Ovis aries: one gene and its partners. The protein of the gene in region 3 interacts with the protein of the main gene of each other region in a pairwise test. Links are inferred from orthologs where the notes say so. Each region holds a gene or a part of one and is shown on either strand. Other genes may lie near its edges. The genes, in order: DTNB, PIN4, ZBTB9, EIF4E2, EHHADH and LASP1.

The links.
Region 1: the proteins of ZBTB9 (region 3) and DTNB interact in binary tests that used the Homo sapiens proteins (3 or more experiments, as listed by UniProt). The two-hybrid records come from large-scale screens. The link is inferred for Ovis aries from reciprocal best matches to the Homo sapiens genes ZBTB9 and DTNB.
Region 2: the proteins of ZBTB9 (region 3) and PIN4 interact in binary tests that used the Homo sapiens proteins (3 or more experiments, as listed by UniProt). The two-hybrid records come from large-scale screens. The link is inferred for Ovis aries from reciprocal best matches to the Homo sapiens genes ZBTB9 and PIN4.
Region 4: the proteins of ZBTB9 (region 3) and EIF4E2 interact in binary tests that used the Homo sapiens proteins (3 or more experiments, as listed by UniProt). The two-hybrid records come from large-scale screens. The link is inferred for Ovis aries from reciprocal best matches to the Homo sapiens genes ZBTB9 and EIF4E2.
Region 5: the proteins of ZBTB9 (region 3) and EHHADH interact in binary tests that used the Homo sapiens proteins (3 or more experiments, as listed by UniProt). The two-hybrid records come from large-scale screens. The link is inferred for Ovis aries from reciprocal best matches to the Homo sapiens genes ZBTB9 and EHHADH.
Region 6: the proteins of ZBTB9 (region 3) and LASP1 interact in binary tests that used the Homo sapiens proteins (3 or more experiments, as listed by UniProt). The two-hybrid records come from large-scale screens. The link is inferred for Ovis aries from reciprocal best matches to the Homo sapiens genes ZBTB9 and LASP1.

Annotation. Positions count from the first base shown.
Region 1 is NC_056056.1:32,798,221-32,801,720, forward strand, and holds part of DTNB (dystrobrevin beta), read right to left. Parts: intron 2,251-3,500; coding exon 2,091-2,250; intron 1,294-2,090; coding exon 1,204-1,293; coding exon of another isoform or gene 1,124-1,203; exon of another isoform or gene 1-1,123.
Region 2 is NC_056080.1:64,766,881-64,771,116, reverse strand, and holds the start of PIN4 (peptidyl-prolyl cis-trans isomerase NIMA-interacting 4), read right to left. Parts: upstream 2,801-4,236; 5' UTR 2,748-2,800; coding exon 2,705-2,747; intron 253-2,704; coding exon 179-252; intron 1-178.
Region 3 is NC_056073.1:7,781,831-7,785,809, reverse strand, and holds the start of ZBTB9 (zinc finger and BTB domain-containing protein 9), read right to left. Parts: upstream 2,801-3,979; 5' UTR 2,659-2,800; exon of another isoform or gene 2,552-2,658; intron 2,372-2,551; exon of another isoform or gene 2,297-2,371; 5' UTR 2,291-2,296; coding exon 902-2,290; 3' UTR 1-901. UniProt on the Homo sapiens protein: May be involved in transcriptional regulation.
Region 4 is NC_056055.1:234,170,836-234,174,335, forward strand, and holds part of EIF4E2 (eukaryotic translation initiation factor 4E type 2), read left to right. Parts: intron 1-3,302; coding exon 3,303-3,407; intron 3,408-3,500. UniProt on the Homo sapiens protein: Recognizes and binds the 7-methylguanosine-containing mRNA cap during an early step in the initiation. Acts as a repressor of translation initiation.
Region 5 is NC_056054.1:202,710,306-202,713,805, forward strand, and holds part of EHHADH (peroxisomal bifunctional enzyme), read left to right. Parts: intron 1-194; coding exon 195-536; intron 537-3,500. UniProt on the Homo sapiens protein: Peroxisomal trifunctional enzyme possessing 2-enoyl-CoA hydratase, 3-hydroxyacyl-CoA dehydrogenase, and delta 3, delta 2-enoyl-CoA isomerase activities. Catalyzes two of the four reactions of the long chain fatty acids peroxisomal beta-oxidation pathway.
Region 6 is NC_056064.1:39,207,227-39,211,194, reverse strand, and holds the start of LASP1 (LIM and SH3 domain protein 1), read right to left. Parts: upstream 2,801-3,968; 5' UTR 2,671-2,800; coding exon 2,602-2,670; intron 1-2,601. UniProt on the Homo sapiens protein: Plays an important role in the regulation of dynamic actin-based, cytoskeletal activities.

The DNA of each region.
Region 1 (3,500 bases), on a different chromosome or scaffold from region 3:
TTCTAAAAGGGATTGAGAAATGGTACCAGAATGGGGACAGTGTTACCATCCTGTTCCCTCAACAGGAGAACTGACATCTTATCAACTGTACTGGAAACACCAACCTTATCCCTTTCTAAACAAAAACAGCAGATCTGAGAGCAAAGCCATTGGCCAGACCTCAGCCTGTCTCATGACAACTCTAAAAGTGTATGGTTTCACCTATAAAGGTCTGAAGGACTACTCAAGGCTTGCCTTCCCTAAGTGTATGTATGGATGATTTCAATGTATTATGTTTGAGTAAGTACGTGTGTCTGAATAGCCCATGGAAAAACTGCTTTATATCTTTACTCAACAACCTTGTTAAGCTACTTCAAGGTATTTAAAAGCACAATATTAGGTGAAAGGAAATAAAAGAGGGCCACCTGTATGAGTGACCCACAGCACTTAGGAAGGAAACCTGTTTGTTTAATATAAAATATGGGAATCTGACCATCATTAAAAAAAATTAGTGAAATATCTGGCGGCTTCAAAACTGATTCAATCATGGGAACTCTTGCAGACACGATGATATGGGAATGGCCTATTTTTTTTTCTCCCCTTCTTGGGTTTCATGGAGGGGGAAATATGCCATGAGGTAAGGGTCTTGGGAAAATCATGGGAAATAGCTGTGAGACAGACTGAGAAAGAAGTCATAGATAAGACTGAACATGTGGAGTGGAGGAAGCACCAGACTCAGGTCATGAACCTCCAGGGAAACCAGAGCCTCGTCACGGACAAAAGGAAAGAATAGGGTTTCAAAACCAAATCAAACAGGAGAAGCAGAAAGGCAGCGGGAGGAAGTCCACAAGCTTTTGTGGCTGATTCGGTTCCCCGTCGTCCAGGAAAGCTCCGAGCGAGACAGCCGAGCAGGCCTAGGGAGAGAGCAGCTGTGGAGGAAGTCCAGGTGGAAGACACAGTAAGTGAGGAAGGGGCCCGATGGAACCAAGTTCCTTTAAAGTCAGAACTGTGTCTGGTCCACAAGGCGTGCTCTTAAGAGAAACTTTAAGTGTGTGACCACGTGTGGGAGACAGGCTCACAGGGGAAGGCATCCAGAGAGTTCCTGGAAAGCAAGGAGGCCGCCCGGTGAAATGAGGGAGGCGCTTTACCACACAGCGGGTGGGTGGCAAGGAAGGCAGGGGCAAGGATGGAGGTGGGAGGCCGGGTGGGAGCTCTGGGCGTCACCTGAGTGGAGCTCCTTCACCAGGGACGACATGGTGTTGGTGATGGAGTCGGCAGCCACCAGCAGGTCATTGCGGAGGTTTCTCCTCGTACCTGAGGAGAGGCAGAGCAGATGGCGATGCCTGGTGGGTAGGTGGGTGATGGTGATGGGGGTGGGGGAGACAGAGCTGAGCAGATGCCTCAGTCGGCCGGCCCCGGGACTTAGTGTGGACTCCTAAGGGAAGATGGGCCGAGCAGCTCCGCCTGCTCCCAGGCATTGGTGCCCAAAGCCGTGGTTCTCCTCCCTCTTCCCTTTGCGAAGGCAGGACCCTGTCACCTCCACGCTTCTCAGCCACAATCAAAGAGGTGGACTGCAGAACAAACCCTCGGCCAGGACTTACTCTCAGCTCCACCTCCCTGCTCTCGTCTCTGCCCCGAGACAAGACAAGACTTCCTGAGCAGCCTCGTCTTCCACCCACTACAGAACACGGCAGGCCATTAACTCCACAGACAAGGTGCCTTCAGCAAGGTCAGATTCAGAGTTCTAGACTCCTTCTCCTCCTTGCTCTAAACACTTTGCAGGCCAAGCACTCAACTTTGGGAATGATTCCATCCAACTCCTCTGGAGGAGGCAAAGCCCAATGAACAAGGCACTTCCCACAACCCTCCTCAAAAAGAGCACAGAAACCCAGAAGGCCTGGCCCTCGCACACATACAAGCCTGCAGACCTCCCGCTGCAGACCAGCCCATCGAATGAGAAGGGGCCAGCACGACACTTGTTTTTACTGTACATGAAAATCTGATCATTGAAAGCTAAGCACACAAAAGAAAACGGGGAGAACCACAGCAGAAGTCTTGTCCATGTTTCCAAACCCCTTTAGCGCTTCATTTTCCTCTGCTCCCGAACTCACCTTGGGCGAAGGCCTCCTGCATGTCCCCGCTGACTCCACTCAGCGGGTCCTGCGGGCAGTGGGTGGGGGTGGAGCCGGCGGAGGTGGAGCGCACGGGCATGGGTATGGGGCGTCCGCCTCCGTGAGTGGGCGATGTATGCGGTGATCCTGTGGCCTGAGCCTGGGAGAATCAAAGAGAGAAAGCCTGTCATCTCCTGTGCCTTAACTCTTTGAGGAAGGGGCAAGTGCTTTTTCTCAGTCAACCTGAGCCAACCTAGGGCTTCAGTTCCGTGGTGCAATGCACTGCATGATCAGATTTGAAAGAAAAGAGTCAGGCTGCCTCCAGGACTGGAGAGAGGAAGCAAAGGAGCGGGGAAACAAAAAGGGAGAAGGGGAGAGAACAAGGGGGAGGAGGAGACAAGGCAGTGAGAACACTGCAGAATAAACTAAAAGCGGAGGGAAAGTGGAGGCGTACTCAGGGAGGGAGGGTAGAAGGGCCTTCCAGGTGGACAGATGGAGCGGGGTAGCTGGTGGAGGATTTGGGAGGGGCTGGGGTCACAGCTGGGAAATAACACTCAAACATCTTTCATTTCTGTTTGCAAACACATTCATGTGCATCATCTCATTTGAGCCTCATAAGGACTCGAGTAGTATCCATTTTAGAGAAGAAAGACAAGGATGAAGAGAGTAAGAGCTCTGTGTCAGGGCTGCACAGCTTGTCAGCGGGAGATGCTGGAACAAGCCCTTCTGCTCCCAGGGCAATGACATGCGCTTTGCACCTCTGCAGCTGCTGGGCTGCAGGGAACGTGCCTGATGAGTTTGCGGGTCAGGAGCCCAGCCGCAGGCAGTTCTCAGAAGCCGAGTCATCTGGCCTGTCATGCTGCCCTCGTCAAGCACATAGTGCAGTCTTCTTTGAGCCATTCTGTGGGGACTGGGTGAGAATGGACACACGTTTACTTGGACACTGAGCCTTCCGTGGGAAGGCTCTGGTGCAGTTTTGGAGAAAGCTGGGAGCCATGGGATAAAAGCTTTAAAACTCCAGTTAAAGGGAGTCCGCTGAGATTTGGGCTCTGCGGCTCTTTAGAGGAAGGGCAACTGAGGGTGGCATAAAGACTAGGGTTCTCTTTGGAAGCAAGACTGGGAAAATATAAGCCAAAGTGTGCCAATAAGTTCAAAGGAAGATAATTATCTTTGGGGAGCTGGCTCAGAAACCCCACATACAGAAAGAATCAGCTGCCCCGAACAGGCTGACAGGGGGCCTCAGCTCAGCTTCACCCAATGTGAGCGCTGGACCGAGCAGAAGTGGTCTGTTTTCCATCATTCTTGCTCTGATTCGTGTCTGTGTATTTTAATCTGAGAAACTTGAAAAATACAAGGCAAGCTTAAAAGTACAACGTAACAGACCATTCAAATTGATATTTAATATTGTGT
Region 2 (4,236 bases), on a different chromosome or scaffold from region 3:
TGCTGCCGAAGGGAGCATCACTTTTGTGTTATCTTGATCTTCTGTCAGTATTAGGCTAGCCTTAGGATGAGTTAAGCATGCTGTCTTTTCCTTTTATGTGTACCAAAATAACAGATGTATATGTTATTTATATTTAAAATGAAAAAAAAAAAAAAAAGAAAAGAGCAGAGTAACTCACCTTTACTGCATTGCCACCACCTTTGGGACCCTGAGCCTTCTTCTCAGAACTCTCACTCCCAGAGGCTGCTTTTCCTTTAGAGAAGAGATGACAAGTACTCATTTAAACTACACTTTCACCTTATTATTCAACACAATAGGAGTTGATACTTCCATCACAGCACCAAGCTTCAAAAGGGAACTCTGCAGACACTTTACATCAAGCGAAATTAACCTGTAACATACCTCTTAAAACAAGAAATTTGTGCCTTACAAAAACCCTTCATGGAAAATGGATACACAAGTGAGTGTGCTAATAGTTGAATGGGAGCACCAAAAACCTGGCCTGATTTCTCTAGACCCAGTTTGAAATCCTGCCTTCTAAGAGCAAACCCTGGAGCTCTTGTGAGATTTCTAATAAGCACGGCAGCTATGTACTTGGATACTCACAATTATAGGAGGTAAAATGTCCAAGAATATATTTTAAATAAAGATCAAATTTCCTACCACCCATATTTGGGTAAAGAATACATTCATGTCCAAACTCCTGGAGTCAATGACATTGCCTACTGATAACCTTCCTAAGAAGTTATCAATATTCAGATTAACACAATGGGCAGTATTTTACATTTTATTACTGTGTCATTTTGCTACTATGCCAGTTTCTGTTTTGATGGCAGCATATTTACTGTTAGAGGCTGATGTTCCTAAGAACTATTGTTGGTTTAAGTGTTCAGTTCATAAACATTTCCTAAGTAACTAAGTTCCAGACACTGGAGATACAAAGATGAACAAGCCCAAATGGCATAATACATTCCTTCAGGGGGCTCATATACTACTCGGGAATATCGTTATGTAAAATCATGTAAAAGATCATTTCAGGAGGATGAGCTATGCTGTATAAATAGGGGGCTGTGGAAGCACAGAGGTACATTTTAGCCAGTTAAAGAAGGTTTCCTGGATGAGTAGGAGCTGAACAGGCAAAGACAGGACAATGGTGAGGAGAATTCCAGGGTAGGGGAACAGTGTAGTATGTGGGGGGAAACTAGGGACGAAGCCAAATCTGAAGTGGGAGTGCTGTGAGAGGAACCCAGGGGAGGTGGCTGAGGGTTAGGGCATGAGGGCCTTTGAGCCCCATTAAGGAACTTGGAATTTATCCTAGAAGTAATAGGGACGCATTAAAATTTTATTCAGGAGACTCCATCCTGTCTTAGGAACCCCAATGCCGAGCACCCAAAAGTTGTTCAATAAATGTTCCACAAAACTGAATATCCAAAATGCCAACCACCAAATGCCTAAGAAAATGTTACTGCCAAAGGAGTTTTATTACACTAAACTTATTTTCTCTAGAACAAAGATGCCTTCTGGTCATCCCACCCCCTGCCCCAATGGATGCTATCATCTTCTGAATGCCCCTTCACTCCCTCTGACTGAGAACTCTGGCAGCAACTTCAGGCTTCCTTTCCATCCTCACTACTGCCCTAATCTTGGGTGACTTCACTATCTATTCAGAGGAACCATCCAACAGCCTAACCTCACATTTCTAGACCTCCCTCCCAAATACCCATGCCTTTTACTCCAGGCCACCTGTTCCCAGGGGCATGTGATCAAACTGTGCCACTCACAACTAATTCAATCTCTGGCTACAACTTTCTGTTCTTCCAGCCTTCTCATGCCTCACTCCCACAACACAGGTTCTTTAATGTCACAGAAACACCTCCTCCTTCCCCCCATTCAGTTCCTTTATCCTCCTATGTTCTCCTATGCTATCAAACTTCTTCCCTTCCCAGTCTGGATCCCATGCTTGATCATCTGAACCGTGTCCCTAGTGGCATTCGTAATTCCCTTGTGTTGCTTTTCTTCTATTATCATTGTCCAACAAAACCTCAACCTTGGCTACAGGTTATACTTAGCTCGTCTCAATCCTGTATTGTGCCAGTTATATGGTACTAGGTAAATCATGACTGAGCAGATTGTGTCCTACAGAAATTCATAGCCTTCAATCTTAAGCTCTCAGCCCTAAGGGCAATCCTTTTTTAAGTGTTTCATCCCCTCTTACCACCCCAATGACTATTCCAAACGCTTAACACTGTCCTCAAGACCCCTACTCAGTACTTGCCCTGCTGTTTTAAAAACTACTCTTGCCTTCCACTTTTTATCACCACATCCATCTTCATCTCTGTGACGTCAAGCTTAAGATGTCCCTTCTTCTCAAAGTCAACTAACTGCTCTACCTCTTTTTTCCCAAATTTCACTACCCTGTAGCTTTACCTAACTAATGGATCCTTCATGACAGCCTCACTCCCAAGTTTTGCCCATTCGGAAGAAACTAACAAAATCAAACTTTCTTGTAATCCTTTCTCCTCTTCTATCCACCATCTAATCCCCATGCTTTTAAATAAAAACTGAAGTCTGTATTGATTGTTTCTAACATCACTTCCTGGTCAGTCCTCTAGTCACTGGCAACCCGCTGCCTCCGCCCCGGACCCCGGCGGTCTGCTCCCTCCGCCTTGCTCCTCACCCAACCCCATTTCTTCTTGGTTTCTACCTTTTCCCCCTTTTCCAGAACCGCTTTTTCCTTTCGGGGGCATTTCCAAAATCTGCCGTTGAACTCTCAACTGCTTAGGTTGCCGCACAAACCCCCTTCAGGCCCCACCGGTGTGTCCTAAACATATGCCAGAAAGCGGCATCGCAATTGGCCATCCTTACCGTGGCTCCGGAAGCAGGCATATCTTGGGGCAGGCCCGGTCCTTTGACTCTTGGGCCAATGGGGCTGAAGCTCGGACCGGGGCAGAGGGGCGGAGGCAAAGGTTGGGCGGGGCGGGGGGAGTTACGCCTCTGTGCTTTTTGCGGCTTCTTTCACACGCCCTTCTTTGCGCCCTTTCCCCGACTGCCCTACCCGCTTCCTCCACGCGTGCGTAACGGAAGCCGGAGGGGTGGGGGTTGGGGGGCGCCTCTGCAGTCCCTCGGCGCGGGGTTCCAGCCAATCACGCGGGGCAATTAGACAAAGGCATAGCCGGAAGAACCTCGGCGGCCGCCTACCCCTTTCGCGCACTCATACACACCGGCCTGCCCTTCGTTTTAGGTTTTCGCTTTTAGTTATTTTACAGCTTGTAGCGAGGCTGTATAAGTGGCTGAATTTGCCCAAAGCAGTGCCTCAAGTAGTTCAAAGGAGAAAATGATGGGCAGAGGCGGACACAACTGAGCGACTAACACTGCTGCTGCTGCTGCTAAGTCGCTTCAGTCGTGTCCGACTCTGTGCGACCCCATAGACGGCCTCCTACCAGGCTCCTCTGTCCCTGGGATTCTCCAGGCAAGAACACGAGTGGGTTGCCATGTCCTTCTCCAGCGACTAACACTACTACTGTTAAATATTTGCTGTAGTTAGTACCTGTGCAGCTTCCCTGGTGGCTCAAAATGGTTAAGAATCTGCCTGCAATGTAGGAGACACAGGTTCAATCCCTGGGTCCAGGTTCCTTCCTGGAGAAGGAAATGTAAGCTTCCCTGGTGGCTGAGAGGTTAAACCGTCTGCCTGGAATGCGGGAGACCTGGGTTCGATCCCTGGGTTGGGAAGATCCCCTGGAGAAGGAAATGGCAACCCACTCCAGTACTGGGAGGAGCCTGGTAGGCTACGGTCCATGAGGTCGTGTCGGACACAACTGAGCAACTTGACTTGACTTGACTTTATAGGATGTAAAGAGAATTAAACAAGTTTGTAAAGCACATAAAACAATGACTTGCTTGTGGAGTGTTAGCTTAAGGTGAATGAGTTTTGAATTTACATCCTCAAACTTTTTACCCTTATCCACAACCCCTCTTCTCCCGACTTTTGTAAGATCAGGGCTTTTCCTCCACTTCATGCGATAGCTCTCTCAGCTTGCCCATGCCAGCCAGAATGGTCCTCCAGCTCAGAGCTTAGTTTTTGAATTGAGTCTTGTGGGACTTCAGATGCTACTTGCCAGCGATCAGGTATTTCTGAGACTGCCACCCCGAACTCATGCGTTACAGGCAGCCCCCTGTTTTACTGCTGTCATTTCTGAACAGGCACAGTTTAGGCACTCCTTGGTTTGGATTGGTAGT
Region 3 (3,979 bases):
ATTTTATTTTTAGGTCAATGGCCATCTCCTGAGTTCACTGATCACACTTCAGTCCCTGTGATCAATATGAGTGATAAGTGGTGGTCAAAGGTAGACAAGAGGCACAGACTGTGGAGGGAATACCTCTATTAAAGAGGGTTCTAAGTGACTCATGGAATTCTCAATTTGTTAAAGCGCTCAACTACAACATACAAAATAAAGGTGTTGAAAAAGTACCTACTGGTGAGAAAGTAATTTATAGACTGAAGGGTTTCCAGAAAATCATAACAAAAGAAAAGTATATAAGACCTTTACTCATAAAATTTCAGCAATGATGAGGGAAAAGTAAAGCTTAGAGCTTAGTCTCTGGATTACTAGAACTCTGAATCAAACACATCTCTAGATGGAGACCAGCTCCCTTAACTTCTCATAGAGACTGAATTAAACATTTATCATAATTTTTCTTGCTCTAACTCCTCTCTCATCAAATAAAACTTCTAATCTGAAATTTAATCCAGTTTCCTGTATGAAAGGATCGATTACAGGCAACTGATCAGTATATCTAGGGCCTGTAAACCAGTCTCCCGGAGGATAGTTAGCAAAAACCTGGAGATGAGAAATCAAGTTTTCAAATCTGTCAGGTTGAGGCCCACATCCAAGAAGAGATCCATAATATATCTATCCTTGTGGAATAACTAACAAGATATGACGTTGCTGCTAGTCCAGTGGTTAGGACTCTGCACTGTCTACTGCAGGGGTGCAGGTTCAATCCCTGGTGGCATGCTACGAGGTATGGCCAAGAAAAAACCACCAACACCAACATCAAGATACAGGATTAGGGTACTGTGGTAGTGAGCGGTAATAAGTATCCATCAGCAGTAGTGGCTCCCTTGTCCTGAAAGTTAGCATATGGCCTTAGCAATCACTTGTAAGTCCAGTGAGCAGTGGCCCAGCCCTGACCCTTGCAGAGGTCCCTATGGCGAAGGAAACAGGCATGGACTCTGAACCGGCGACCACAGTGAGGACAGGCATGTAGGGCTCCAGCATGCGTCTTCATATGCTCTGTCAGGTGGTGCTTCAGCTTGAAACGCTTGTTGCAGATGCCACAGCCAAAGGGTCGAAGGCTGAATGTCAGCATGATGTGCCGGTCACGCTTTGGCTTCACTGCAAAGCGTTTCCCACACAAACAACCAAAGCGTTTTCCATCTGCAGGGGGAGCGCCACCTAGCTTCACAGGCCCATGCACAGCCTGCCCTACTCCCCCAGGTCCCCCACCCCCTGATAGGATTTCATTCCCATGAAGATCCACTGGTTTCCAGGATGGATCACCTCCTCCAGATGTTGTCCCTGCTCCTGAGGGCAGCAGGAACCCTAGTTGTCCATTCTCTTCAGTGTTCCCTGCTGGAAACACTTTGGTCTCCTCCTTTGCTCCTACAGACTGACTTCCGCCTCCAGCTATCTCCTCCTTGGACTCAAAGGGTTCCTGCTTGATGTAGAAGATTTTGGGGGGCAATGCAGTATGAGGAGCAGGAGGCTCAGGTGGGGCACTCTCGCCCTCTGGAACTCTGCAAGGAATAGTGGATGTGGGCAGGGGGTAGGATACAGGAGGGGGAGGAAAACTCCCTGATCCTCTCTGAGGCTGAGGAGTCTGACAGGGTGCTGCTGACCCTTGGTCCTCCTCATCTTCTTCCTCATCTTCCTCTTCAACCTGAAGCTGTAATATATCTCCCAGTTCACTCCCCTCCCCTCCAATCGAGCTCTGGTTAGAAGCAGAAGACTGTGCCGGGGTCTGGAAAGGAGAAGAGCGGATGGACCAGCCTCCTGTGGTGGAAAGAAGTGTGTGGAAAGGGGCTACTCCTCGGGACGAAATCCCACCACCTGCGTTTTCCAGTTCTCTAAGGATCTCTGAGCACTGATCTACCACTTGCCACATCTGCAGGCCACTGGCCACAAGAAGGTGTGCAGGGAGAGCATCCAGGGGCAGACGGAGGTGCCCCGAATAAATGAGCTGGAGCAGCCCCTCGAAGGCATCGGCTTCGATAACGCTGGGTAGGGTGAGACGCGGTGCATCCCCCAGAAGTAGTTTGTCGTGGAAGTAAGGAGAAGCGGCGGCCAACACTGCTTTGTGGGCCCTCAGTTCGCGGCCCTGCACCAGGAGAGAGACGTCACAGAACTTTCCCTCCAGCCTGTGGCGGTTCAGGGCCTCCAGCAGCAAAGAACTGTGCTGAGGGAACTCGATCTGGATCGTCCGTGGGGCTGGGTTGCAGGCTGGGGAGGGGGCTACAGGAGGCAAAGGCGTCGAGGTATCCATGGCCTCCTGGGGAAGAAAGAGATCCCAGAGGGTCGGGTACAGGAGGTGAGAGGGCGGGGGAGAGCCCCTGCGCGACGAGGGCTGTGGAGGAAAGAAGGGGTCACAGAAGCTGTGGATAAAGACAATCGTATCTCCCCAAGCAACGTCCGCCTCCGCTGCACCCCAACGTGTGGAACTTTTCGGTAGCCGGTGGTTCGGGCAGAACAGTCCCACACACTCCCCCGCCAAGAAAACGAAAACAAACCACAACAAAACACCAACCGGGGATTGAACTTGAAGGGCCTGTGGCGAGGAGGAGGTCCTTCAGCCGCGAGCCGGATCCCGCCGGCCCGGTCGGCTTCTTCCCACCGTTCCGCTCCCCAACTCACGTGCCCGCAGAGTCCAACTCCCTGGCAGGTACCCGGGGACCGCGAGCGCCAGCCACTTGGCCCTTCCTGTCGCCACGCCCCCACGGGTACACACGCGGTCCTGCGTCCAGAGCGGCTCTGCAGCAACCGCGCCGCCTCGGCCGGAAGCCGCCTCCTCCCCGCCGGAAGCGGACCCCCGGGGAGTTGGGCGGGGCCAGGGAGGCAGCCAATCGGAGGGCGCCGGCCTACAAGCCTCACGTCGATTGGTCATGCCGGCGAGAAGGCGGTCCTGGCGGGAGGCAGTACACCCGGCTGGGGCCGCAGAGGGGATGAGAATGCGCAGGCGGTACCGAGGGTGCCACCAGTGAGCCGTGCCAGTGATTAAATGTAACGCCTGCCCCCGATGGGTGCTGAGATTAAGAGGACACCTAGCGTATTAGGTATTGTTCATATCACCTTCTATCCCACGCCCCCTCCCCCGACCCGCCACCAGCGAGGTAGGAGTTCCCATCCTTTCCTCAGGGGAAGCCGAGACGGCAAGTGCTGGCTCAGGGGCCGACTCCACAAGGCTGAGGCACCAAGTTCTTTCCTCCGTTCCGTACGGGAGCACTTTAACCAACAATGAAATAATCTTCTCTTCTAGGTAATTACTTTTAAGGGACATGTAGATGTACACTTATTTTTTATCAGATACTGCTGCTGTTCCTTAACCTCTTTTCTCTTGGGGTTAAGTGGCGCAATGGTGAGACACATGGGGGAAATTTGGCCTGTGCAAAAACCCCTACTCAAAACAATCTTGCTAGTTGGGAGAGCGATATTCTAGGGCCAAGACTATGGCGTCACACAAGGATACAGAATTTCTCCCAAGCTGTCAGCTTCCTCAAAAAGCAGTTCCTGTCACCATGCTGATCCTCCGGGAGGTCCGAGACTAGGAAAGTCAGCACCGCGGTAAAAGAACAATCTCCGTTTATTAAACATGATTTTTCTGTTTCACCACACACTCCAGAAAAAAAGGAAATGGGGCTGGGAGTGGAAGGGGCAGTGGTGGGGGAGAGAGTAGGCTGGGGGTGGGGTGGGGTGGGGAGGGAGAACGAGAAAACAAAATAAAACAGGTAGGAAGAACATCTCCCTACCCTTATTGGGGGAGAGGGAATCGTGGTGGGGAGGGGGCCAGGAAGCGCTGTACAGAGGGGTTGCCCCCAGCCCACACACACACACCCCGGATATGTACAGTACAAATCCCAGATAATTACAACAGCCAAAGAAGAGAGGAAAGGAGGTCCAGGGGTAGGGTCTGAGGTTGGGAAAGCAAGGAAGGGCACAGGGATAAAATTTCACATAT
Region 4 (3,500 bases), on a different chromosome or scaffold from region 3:
TTTATCTGTTTATTCATCAGATATGCATATATAATGATAATCACATCATCTGACTATGTTGAGTTGATATTTCAGCCACAAGCAAAGATCTTGTATTAGTTGGCCTGTGCTGTCTTATTACTGTTAAATTTAGACTTTTTTGAATTATTAAAAGTAACTGTGCACTGGTACATATTTGGTTCAAGAAAAGTTTGTTGAATGAATTTGGGGCATAATAGGGTTCTAAAATGACTAAAAAACCTTGCCCTTAGGGAAATAAGACATGCCCAGGAATTTCTAATATAGGGAGGCAGTTTAGGAGGTGCATAAATAGCTAGAGTGCTCTTGCAGTTCAGAGTAAAGGGATTCATTTCAGCCTGGAGAAGCCTCTTTTGAAGGGAGATGGGTTTAAGATTGAATTCAGAAAATTTGAACAAGTGATAAGATGAAGGAATTCTTGGAAGAGAGAACAGTAGAATTAAAAAAACTATCCATGTCATCCTAACATTCCTGAATCCATTAAAATTTTGATAGCTTGCTAGACATTTCAGGTAAAATGACAGCCATTATGTTATGAACAACTGATTAAGCACTTAGGATCAGAGAAGAAACTGAACTCTGGGGAGTCAGTTTTCATTCAGGATTTTGTTCAGTTATTTTAGCATAGTTGTAACTATTTCTAGCGTTTTTCTTTCCCGCTTAAAGAAAGCATGTGTGAATGTTCCCAGCTTGTACAAGGAGAGCTTTTGTTTTCTTTGGACATATGTGCTAAGTTGAACAGTTTTATCATCAACATCATCTTGGGTTAATGCTGCTTTATACTCACCAATGCATGTAAGTCAAGGCATTGGGAAGTGTCCCACAATATTCCTCACAGAAAAGTAATTACATTTTGAAACTAATGATGCTAAAGTAGTATTTCCCACTAGTCCTCGATCCTAGTATTTGACAGCAAATGGCAACCCACTCCAGTACTCTTGCCTGGAGAAGCCCATGGAGGGAGGAGCCGGTAGGCTACTAGTCCATGGGGTCGCAAAGAGTCGGACATGACTGAGCGACTTCACTTTCACTTCAGAAGTTCTTGAGGTGACTAAGAAAACTATATCTTGAAATGAAAAAAGCGTTGGACATTCTGCTGCTTGACTGTGAGCTGGGGCAAGTTCTGAAACCGTTTTCTCAATTATAAAGCAAAGAAAGTAGTTGAGATGATTTCTAAAGTCTTTTCTGCATTCCATGTTCTGAATCTAAACATTTATTTTTTGGTTCCAGTTGAAAGTTTTAAAAATGAAAGTTGCCTTAAGAGAATGAAAAAAAAAGGTTTAATACTATTTCTCAACCTGCCTATTATTTCATCTCTGTTGTGATTTGGGTTTAGAATTCTGGCTATAAGATTGTAGAGAATGGCTCTCAGATTGGTGGAGACCAAACTGTTAATAAAGCAGTGCCCCACTGGAGGATTGGGGGTGATTGGTATGCTCTGTCCCCACCACTTCTGTCAAGTCCTTATTCACAATGAGCCACAGTTTCTAGAAGGTGAGCTTCATTTCTTTGCACTGTGTTGAATTGAAGTGAAGTGAAGTCGCTCAGTCATGTCCAACTGTTTGCAACCCCATGAGCTGTAGATTACCAGGCTCCTCTGTCCATGGGATTTTCCAGGGGATCTTCCCAACCCAGGGATTGAACCTGGGTCCCCCGCATTGTAGACAGACGCTTCACCGTCTGAGCCACCAGAGAGGTCCTCCTTTGCACTGTGTTAGAGTGGGGAAAAGATTATTGCTCGTTGTATGCATAGGACCATTCACTGACCCAGATCCCTGGGTACCATTAAGCATGGCACTGGCTGAGGTGAAATGCTGAGGTGAAGTCCTGCAGATGGCTTCGTTCCTAATTTCCTTGTAACGTGAGATGTTGCCCATGTTTCTGTGCTCTAGAGGATTGAGAGGCACCGCCACTTCACACAGTCTGGGGTTTCTCCTCAGTTGCTATCCAGATCTGGGGGTGTGACCTGAATCTGTCTGCATGGTACCTGTTTTTACCTGCACATTATGGAATCTTGCTTCATGTTTATTTAGAGCCTCTTCAGCAGTTTCTTGGCAAATACCAGCTGTTTGCTTCAGACTGTTTCACATTTTTTCTTTACTTGTAAAGTGTGCACTTGACTTTCCGGTACTTTGTAGGTGTTCTCTGTGAATTGCAGAGGAATAGGAAAGTAATCAAGGGCTTCCCAATCGGGAAGCGCCACTAGGCGCTAGTGGTAAAGAACCCGCCTGCCAATGCAGGAGATGTCAGAGATGTGAATTTGATGCCTGGGGTGGGAAGATTGCCTAGAGGAAGGCATGGCAATCACGCTAGTATTCTTGTCCTGGACAATCCCATGGACAGAAGAACCTGGTGGGCTATAGTCTATAACATCCCAGAGAATTGACCAGAGAATTAACTTCAGTGAGTTAGCATGAATGCATGCTTAAAATACAGGGAAGTAATTTCTTCTTATCAAATCACTAGTGAGAAAAACAAATAGTGCGATAAATATAAATAAGCATACATTTTATAGAGAATATGTATGATTTTCTAACAGGACTGTGAAGGAGGAGCAAAGAGAAATTTTATAGCTAAGAAGAGAGACTTAAACCCTGAGTGAGGAAGCCTGCTTGGTTTTTGGACCATCTGGGCCTTAGCAAGGGCACCATGGTATGGAGTAGCCCTGCGGTTGATTCTGTCACTTAATGCTCAGTAACTGTTTCTATAGAAATAAAATGTACTTCAGTGTAGCTAATGCTGTATTTTGACAGTAAACCTCTGATCAAGAAGTGCCCAAACTTGCAGTTATAAATAAGTCATGGGCATGTACTGTAGAGCACAATGACTAGTTAATTCACAATGTTAATAATACGGTTTTTTTTTTTTTTTAAGTGATTTGGTTCAAGCTGAGGTTGTGTGGCCCTGAATATACCTCAAACCTAAGTGGTTTTTATCGTGTAAAACAAAGTCCTCCTATAGCATGTGGTGATTCTCCTGCGGCTTCCACAGGAGGATGCGTATTGACATTTTACCAACTAAGGCTCCTGGCTGAGGCTGGCATTTCTCACCTAAAGAGTTTATTCTTGTGTTGACAGTATGACACTATTCTTTTATCAAAATAGATAGTCTTCTTCCCTTCAGCATGTTGTTCTTCCCCCACAATCCCCAGAATGAACATCTGTCCTCCAAAAAGTAAAGCCTCTAGCAGAGTGTCTTCCGTGGTTATGCACTTCTCTTAAATCTCCCATTCGCTCAAAGAAAAAGAAAGTGCCTCTCTTGACTCTGCTGTGCTCTCTCTGCAGGTGGAGCAGTTCTGGAGGTTTTACAGCCACATGGTGCGTCCCGGGGACCTGACAGGCCATAGCGACTTCCATCTCTTCAAAGAAGGAATTAAACCCATGTGGGAGGTGAGAACTGAGAGCCTTAGACTGTTTTTCTGAGGAAGTTTTCTGTTTTTTGGGGTTTTTTGTTTGGTTTGGGGGTTAGTGCCAGGTGTTGGC
Region 5 (3,500 bases), on a different chromosome or scaffold from region 3:
GGTTCTAGATGTTGTATGGTAGAAACCAACACAACGTTGTAAAGCAATTTTCCTCCAATTAAAAAGATTTTTAAAAACAAACACATTAATTAATCATTTAATGGAAAACTATCTTAAATAGTATTTATTATTATATACGCACGAGCCTTTGATATAAGTTAACAGTTCCAAATTTTCTTTCTTTTTTCTTTTAGATCTATCTCCAGAATCCCGTAGAATCTGCAACATGCCCGTCCCGAGCTTGCCCAACATGGACGCCATTTTCAGTGAAGCGTTTCTGCAGGTGCGGAAGCGGTACCCTGGGTGGCTGTCTCCGGAGGCCTGTGTCCGAGCAGTCCAGGCTGCTGTCCAATATCCATATGACATGGGCAGCAAGAAGGAAAAGGAGCTGGGCCTGTACCTTAATACCTCAGGGCAGGCCAAGGCCCTGCAATATGCTTTCTTTGCTGAGAGGATGGCAAATAAGTGGTCCACTCCCTCCGGGGCTTCCTGGAAAACATCGTCGGGACGACCCATCTCCTCTGTTGGCGTTCTCGGTAAGAACATGAGCAATGTCACTCCCCAAATCTGCATTTGTCAAGTACTACCATTTGCTTTGGGCCACTACATGCCAGGCTCTTTGCTGAACATATCACTTTTTTAGTTAACTTAATTTTCACCCCAGCCCAAGAACTATCTTTGCATGTGAGGCTTAGAAACACTAGGCCTTCTCAACAGTGAACTAATTAAACCCAAGTCCTCTAATGCTACATCTGTGTGATTCCAGACTCTCGGCATTTTTAAACTCATTTCTGCCTCTTACATGTCCCTCATCCCTGGGTTTCCCAGCAAGATTATGATGTGTACCACATTTCAAGGTGTGGCCTGTCACTCCTATAGCTAGGGATTGGGAATGAAGGTTGTGTCTTTCTGGTCCTTGCATCCATTCACTTCTCCTGATTCAAAGCCACTATCCCCAAATTCATCTTTACCTGAAACATGGGCTTCCTTACATTTTCCCCTTGAAAATTTCTCAAACAAAATGCCTTCTTTCCTCAGAAGCTAGCTCTCCGAATGGCTTATTTGGGCCACTATCCTAAACTTCACTTAGTCTTAGTCTTGGCCCAAGAATGGCCTTGGGTGGATTCCAAATCCCCTGAAAGAGTAAGTGGAGTATGGTATGTATTAGCCTGTATACAGTCTTCTGGGAGAGGAGGTCCAAAGTTTACTAAAAGCACCAACTTTCTTAATCTTCACCAAGCTCTCTAGCACCAGTGCAGTGTGAATGAAAGAGCCTTCTCTACATTTTCTTAGTCTGAAGCTGTCTCAATGAAATTTGGAAATAAACTAGTACGTCTTCAACACAAACATGCTGTGCTCCTTGTAGCACTGACTCTGTTCACTTGTGATTTTTTAAGGAGCTGGATAAATAGTATGGCAAAGAACTGATTGTACCTTTTTATATTCCTTCAGCAGCACTGATATTTGTTTCTAGTTATGTATGTACCTGTTTCTTCTTTCCTGTATTCCTTCAAGCCAAGAAAAATTAATGCAGAATAATAGTAAAAACTCTTTATCAGTATCGTGTTTGTCAACCATCATTTGAGAATTTCCGTTTCCTTATCGTGAGCTTTTTAAAAAGACTTCAGGTTTGTGTCTGGCATGGAATGTTTATAAGTTCAAAGTTTTTTTTTAAGTATATACCACATTGTTCTGAAAAATATTTGCAAAAGCTTTTAAAGTATGTAGAAGACAATGTGGATGAAAATAAAGTGAGAGCTGGTCATTTCCCTCTTCGTCATGTTTTTCTGCTTCCTGCTCTGCCCGCCTTGGTCTTGGTGACGCAGCCTCCCTCTGTGCCCCATGTCCTCTGGAATGCACCCACAGCCTCATCTGGTTCACAGTGGCTGTCCCTCTGTCTCCTGCCTGAAACCTGACTTACCCTGGGCACTTGCTTCTCCTGAAGCCCACTCAAGAAGGCTGTTGCTTCTTCCCACACTCCCTGGACTGCACTGCCACTTCCCACTTCCCCTCTCAGACCGTGACCCCTTTCTGGACACTCTTCCTCTGTTTTGCTGCCGTCTCCCTGCCTGCTCTATCCCTCCTCATCACTGTCCGCGCTCCCCTGCCTTGGCCCTCATTTCAGTGCCTGGCTCACGGTTATCCGCTTTGGCCCCAATCCTGCTGTCCTTTCCTTGTTGTCCTCGTCCCCTGTGTGGAGAATCCATCCAGCCCTGTTGCTTCTGGGTTCCTTCGCCTCCTCAGATCCAGTGACATTCGCCTCACTTCACTTCCGTGACCCACACTTCGGGCTTCACCCTGAACATTTCTCCACCACTGAAATGTGAACTTTTTCACTACAACCTTGTGTTTCTCCACATCCCTTTCTCAGTTATTCCAACTGCATCTGTTATGTGATAAGCTCTTTTAATCTTTACTTCCTTCTCTATTCAGTTTTCATTTCCAATCATCACTTCAGCTACTCCCTTGCCTACATCCTCAGAAGCCGTGACTCGTTGTCCTTTCATTGGGCCCCCAGGAAAACCCCAGCCCTGATGAGCCCAGGTTTGCGCCTCAGTGAGCCTGTGCTCTCAGAGTGGGTCGGCACCCCTGCAAGTCCACTTTCTTTCACCTCGCCTGAGCTCTCAGGTCTGTCGGAAGGGGAGACGACTGCTGTGGACTAGACACTGAAGAGCCAGCAGTCAAAGCATCCCTCATCCTTTATTTGCTTTGAGTAGAAGGGATTCTTGACGATGTTTAATTCCAGGGTAGTTAAAGGCAGTGACTTGGTCCAGGAACAGGACTCCTGGTCCCTGTCTGTGTGTGTTTAGTGAGGAAAATTTAGGAAACTAAATTCAATATGCATACAGTATTGACCTATGAAAACATAATTACCAACAGTGAAAAGCTTGGTCTTTCAGCCCTACTTTCTTGAGAACTTTGAGACCACAAGGTTGTGAGAAGTTAGTGAAGAACTCTTTGAAGGAAACAGTTACAGGTTTCGTGTATATTTTTAGTGATTAAATGAAAAAATATCAGTTTATAGAAATGAAGGTCTAAAATAATAGCTGATACTTCTCCCCCCCCCCCCCCCCCCCCGCCCCTGCAACAAGACATTGTTTATTAATCAGAAGAGCAGCAAGGATAATTCTGCGTTAGGTTAAAAGCTGCATTTCAAGGGCCCAAGTTCAGGCTTCCCTGGTGGTTCAGTGGTAAAGAATCCACTTGCCAATGCAGGGAATGTAGGTTCGCTTCCTGGTCTGGGACAATCCCATGAGAGAAGCTAAGCCCCTGCACCACAACTACGGAGCCTGTGCTCTAGATTCTAGGAACTGCAACTATTGAGCAATGCTCTAAAGCCTGTGCTCCACAGCAAGAGAAGCCACCACAGTGAGAAGCCCGTGCACCACAGCTAGAGAACAGCTCTCACTCACTGCAACTAGAGAAAAGCCCACACAAAGCAATGAAAACCCAGCATAGCCACAAATAAGTAAACAAAAATATATTGAAAAAAAGGTCCA
Region 6 (3,968 bases), on a different chromosome or scaffold from region 3:
CAACTCTAATCCCATAAGTTGGGGAAACAAATCTCGACCTCAAACACCGTGGCCAGCCATACACATTTATTCAGCATGAGGACACGCTGGGTAATGCAGGTGGACGGTAGGGTAGCCATCAGAGGTGATGTGGCTTTTACTCACCTAAGCCTTTGGGAGATAAGGCTCAAGGAGGAGGAAAGGCTAACACCAAGAATGTAGCTTGTGCTCTGGGTCATGTCGGGTCCTAGGGAAATTGCAGTGAAACAGGTGAGTCTAATTTGACTCTCTCCTGTTGTAAATGGGTTGTCTTGGGAAGCTGGTTAGCAATTGTGTCTATGGGACTGAACATCTGTCCTCAGGCGTCAGGTCCCCATTCTAAGTGCCTGCCCTTACTGCCTGGAGGGCGGTGGGAGGAACCAGTCTAATACCTGGATATTCCAGGCCTCCTGCTCAGTGCAGGGGTGACATCTCCCCAGGGAAACCTCCTGTAGGAAGAGAGAGGAACCGCCAACTCTCACTTCCCAGGGTGCCCACCACCTGAATGTCCTCTTCCAGAGAGGGGAAGAAAACAGATGGGGAGGGCGCCTTAAAGGGGCTGCACCCTCCCCTCAGACACCAAAGGTCTTTACAGGGAAAGCCAGGTATGGGGCTGGACAGAGTACCCCAGAAAAGAAGAGGGCGCACAGCCTATACCACATCCCCTTCCAGGCACTGTGACAGGCACTCGGGTGCACTTCCCCACCTTCAAGGAAATGACATCATCACACCCATCTGATAGACTCTGAACACTGAGGCCTGGAGCCATTCACAGAGCTGGTGGTGAGCGGACCTGGAACTAGGAGCAAGTGTTCCAACGCCCAGGCTAGTGTCCTTCCAGCAGACACTGCTTCCGCCTTATGTGGGTGGAAAGTGGCCATTGCCTCTACCCAGTTCATGACTGTGCAGAAGGGGAGCACAAGGAACTCAAGACGCAGAGGCCAAAATCCCTCCCACCAGGGAAGAGCAGAAACACCAGTGTGCAAGGCCAGAGAGCTCTCAGCTCCTGCCCCCAGGCTCAAGTCCTGCCCTCCCGCATGGTCTTTGGGAAGGTCAGCACCCACATTCACTGCACCATAACATGGCCTTTCTCTCCTCCTGCCCAGCCAGGCCCAGGAGAGAAGACTGAAACAGCAGCGGCCCCGCATGACCCGTTCCTCCAAGAGCAGTATCAAAATGATCTCAGAACCATGGAACCCCACCCCCTCACCCTGACTCAGAGGCCAAAGGTTACTGAGGAAGCTCCAACCCTAAGGAGGGGAAAGACAAAAGAATCCAAGGAACGACCCTTTCCCCCCTCACAAAAAATATCTGACTCCAGGTGGGCCCTGCACCCTCTTCCATCCCATGGGCCCCCAACCCCTGGCCAGTCCAGATGGGAAAGAGGGAATGTGTGGACAGGGGGGCAGCTTTAGGAGGTGAATGAAAGGCATGATGAAGAAGGGGACAAAATCCTAGAGGCCTCTCCTCCAGACCGAGGAGGGAATGAGAGGGAAGATGGATTGCCTTAGGATCTTAGATTAAAAGAGGTCCGGATCCTACCCCAAACTGCAGGAAATACCCAGTTCCACTCTCCGCCCCCCTTCAAAAAGTATAATGGCAACCAGATGAACGAGTCCAGCATGATGGGGGTGGGGGGGGAGGAAGACGCCTAAGGGCCCCCAGGGGACAGTGAATTTCCAGAAGGCCACCTTCCCTTTCCCCCAACATCTCCCCCCTTTTCTTGGCTCCCCCTGAACTTAGCCAACCCCACCCTCCATTGGGGAAACCTGCTCTGAAAAGTTAGCTCTTTGTTCTACAGGGTGGACTCAGCCTCTGAACACAATTTCGGGAGATCTCAGTGAAGCAACCCCCCACCACCCTACTCCAGCAAGCGACCCCACCCGGGTCCGGCTGGGCGGACCAACGCTGGGAGTTGGCTTCTAATTTGAGGTGGGGGCTGGGAAGCTATGGAGGACTCAGGCTAGCCCATTAACCGCTGAACCACCAAGAGGGCTGCAGGTCGTCCGAAAAACGGGCTCTCTCAATGGGGCTCGGGTCCTTATCCGAAGGCCAGTTCACCAGACGCAACACTTGCCCGCTGACGGCCCCCACCCTCCAGTCTCCAAGCCAGGAAGCCGGGCCAGTAGCCGCCGGAGCGGACCGCTTAGCAGGGGCCCCAACCTCTGCCCCGCCCCCCCGCCGCCCCCTCCCCCAGCGCCCAGCGCTTCCGCCTACTTGGCGCTCGGCGAGGCGGGGAGAGGGAGCGGCCGTCTGCTCTCACTCTCCCGGCCCTAGGGGGCGGGACTGCACCCCTAACCTTCCCTCACTCCCCCCACCCCCACTCCGGGGCCCGGCTTCTCCACCCCCGGGCACCGAGCCCACTCCTCTCCAGTAGTGGCTGCCCGCCACGCGTGGACTCCTTTCCTCGCCCCAGATCTCCTGGTTTCCAGACTGGGGTCCGTCCCTCACGCCCCATGACACCACCCACCTTTCCTCCTCCCGGGATCGCGGTAACGGGGCGGCAGAGACCCAGCCCCGCTCTCCTCCTCCGATCTGGAGCTCGGGGATTGCAAAGACGCGTCTCCCAGTCCCGAGTCTCACCTTATCCAGACAGTTCACCTTCTCCGTGGGGTACACGATCTTGCTGCACCGAGCGCAGTTAGGATTCATGGCTCCGGGAAAGGCTGGGGCGAGGACGCCCGAGCTCGCGCGCGTTCTCTTTCCCCGGAGCGAGCTGGCGGGAGACGGCCGCGGCCTCAACTGCACAGGCGACAGCGACGGCTGCTTGAGCTAGGGAACTGGCCTCCGCCCCCGCCCTCCTTCCCCTAATAAACACAGCGGGGAGGAGGGGCTGTACCGGGGCGGGGACGCGCCGCGGGCGCGGGCAGGGGCGCGCGCGGCGAGGCGCGCTCTCCAGGCTACGTGGGACTGCGTGGGGGCGGGTTCCAGGGAGGACCGCGCGCCCAGCGGTACGCGCCTAGGTGAGCTCGCAAGCAGAAAGGGCCCTGGAATGCGCCCGGAGGCCAGGCGCTAACAGGCGACCTTGCCCAGGGCTCTTCCGCCGCTGGAGGCGGGGCGGGGGCGATCCGGTGGCACATCTGGGCACCTGGGCTGCAGGGCCGGCGAGCCCCTCGCAACCGCCCAGGGTGGGGTTCGAACCCACTCGAACACCCAACCAGATTCGTCAGGTTTGGGGATTTCCTTTGTACCCGTCGGTACCTGGCGAGAAATCCGCGGATCTACGGGAACCCTCCCTGCCCCGCCCCTAAGATGTTAGCCATGCCCTGCAACATCCTCTCCCACAATTTGTAAGGCGGAACCCGTCCCTCCCTGCAGGACTCAGTCCCTCGCAGACCGGGTTAATTCTTGCGTCCCCGCGCCTCTGCCGTGCAGCTTTCCAGTAGTTCCCCGAATCCAGCGAGCTTCTGCTTTGCGCTCGATCCCTTTTTCTCTTGCGTTTCTTTCTCCTTACCTACCCTTACTGTTCACCTTTAGCAGTGTCTTAACACCCAAAAGAGCCGCATCCAAGCCAAGGCGCGGCGTGGGGGTATAGCTCAGTGGTAGAGCATTTGACTGCAGATCAAGAGGTCCCTGGTTCAAATCCGGGTGCCCCCTCGGCGGTTTTTTCCTAATTTTTGTCTAGTATAATTATTTCCTTTTTGATTCATATTTTAACCTCGGGTCCTAGGTTAGAGAAATAGAGAAAAGCTATTTTAAAATTCCTTCCTCATTCTCCAACCTTAACGGAAGGCTTTCGGTTTGACTTCGTACTCAGCAGCAGGAGGGGGTGGGTACAGGAACAAATCATGTACAAAAACTTCAGGTCCCCACGACCCATGCGGGAGGTACCGGGATTTCTGCGGCAGCCGCAGTCGTGTAAGGCGGTTCCAGGCGCTGGTTCAGGAGGCAAGATTCCCCCAACTTGGTGTTTCATTTTGGGTAGGGGTGGGTCTGGAGAAGAAAACCCA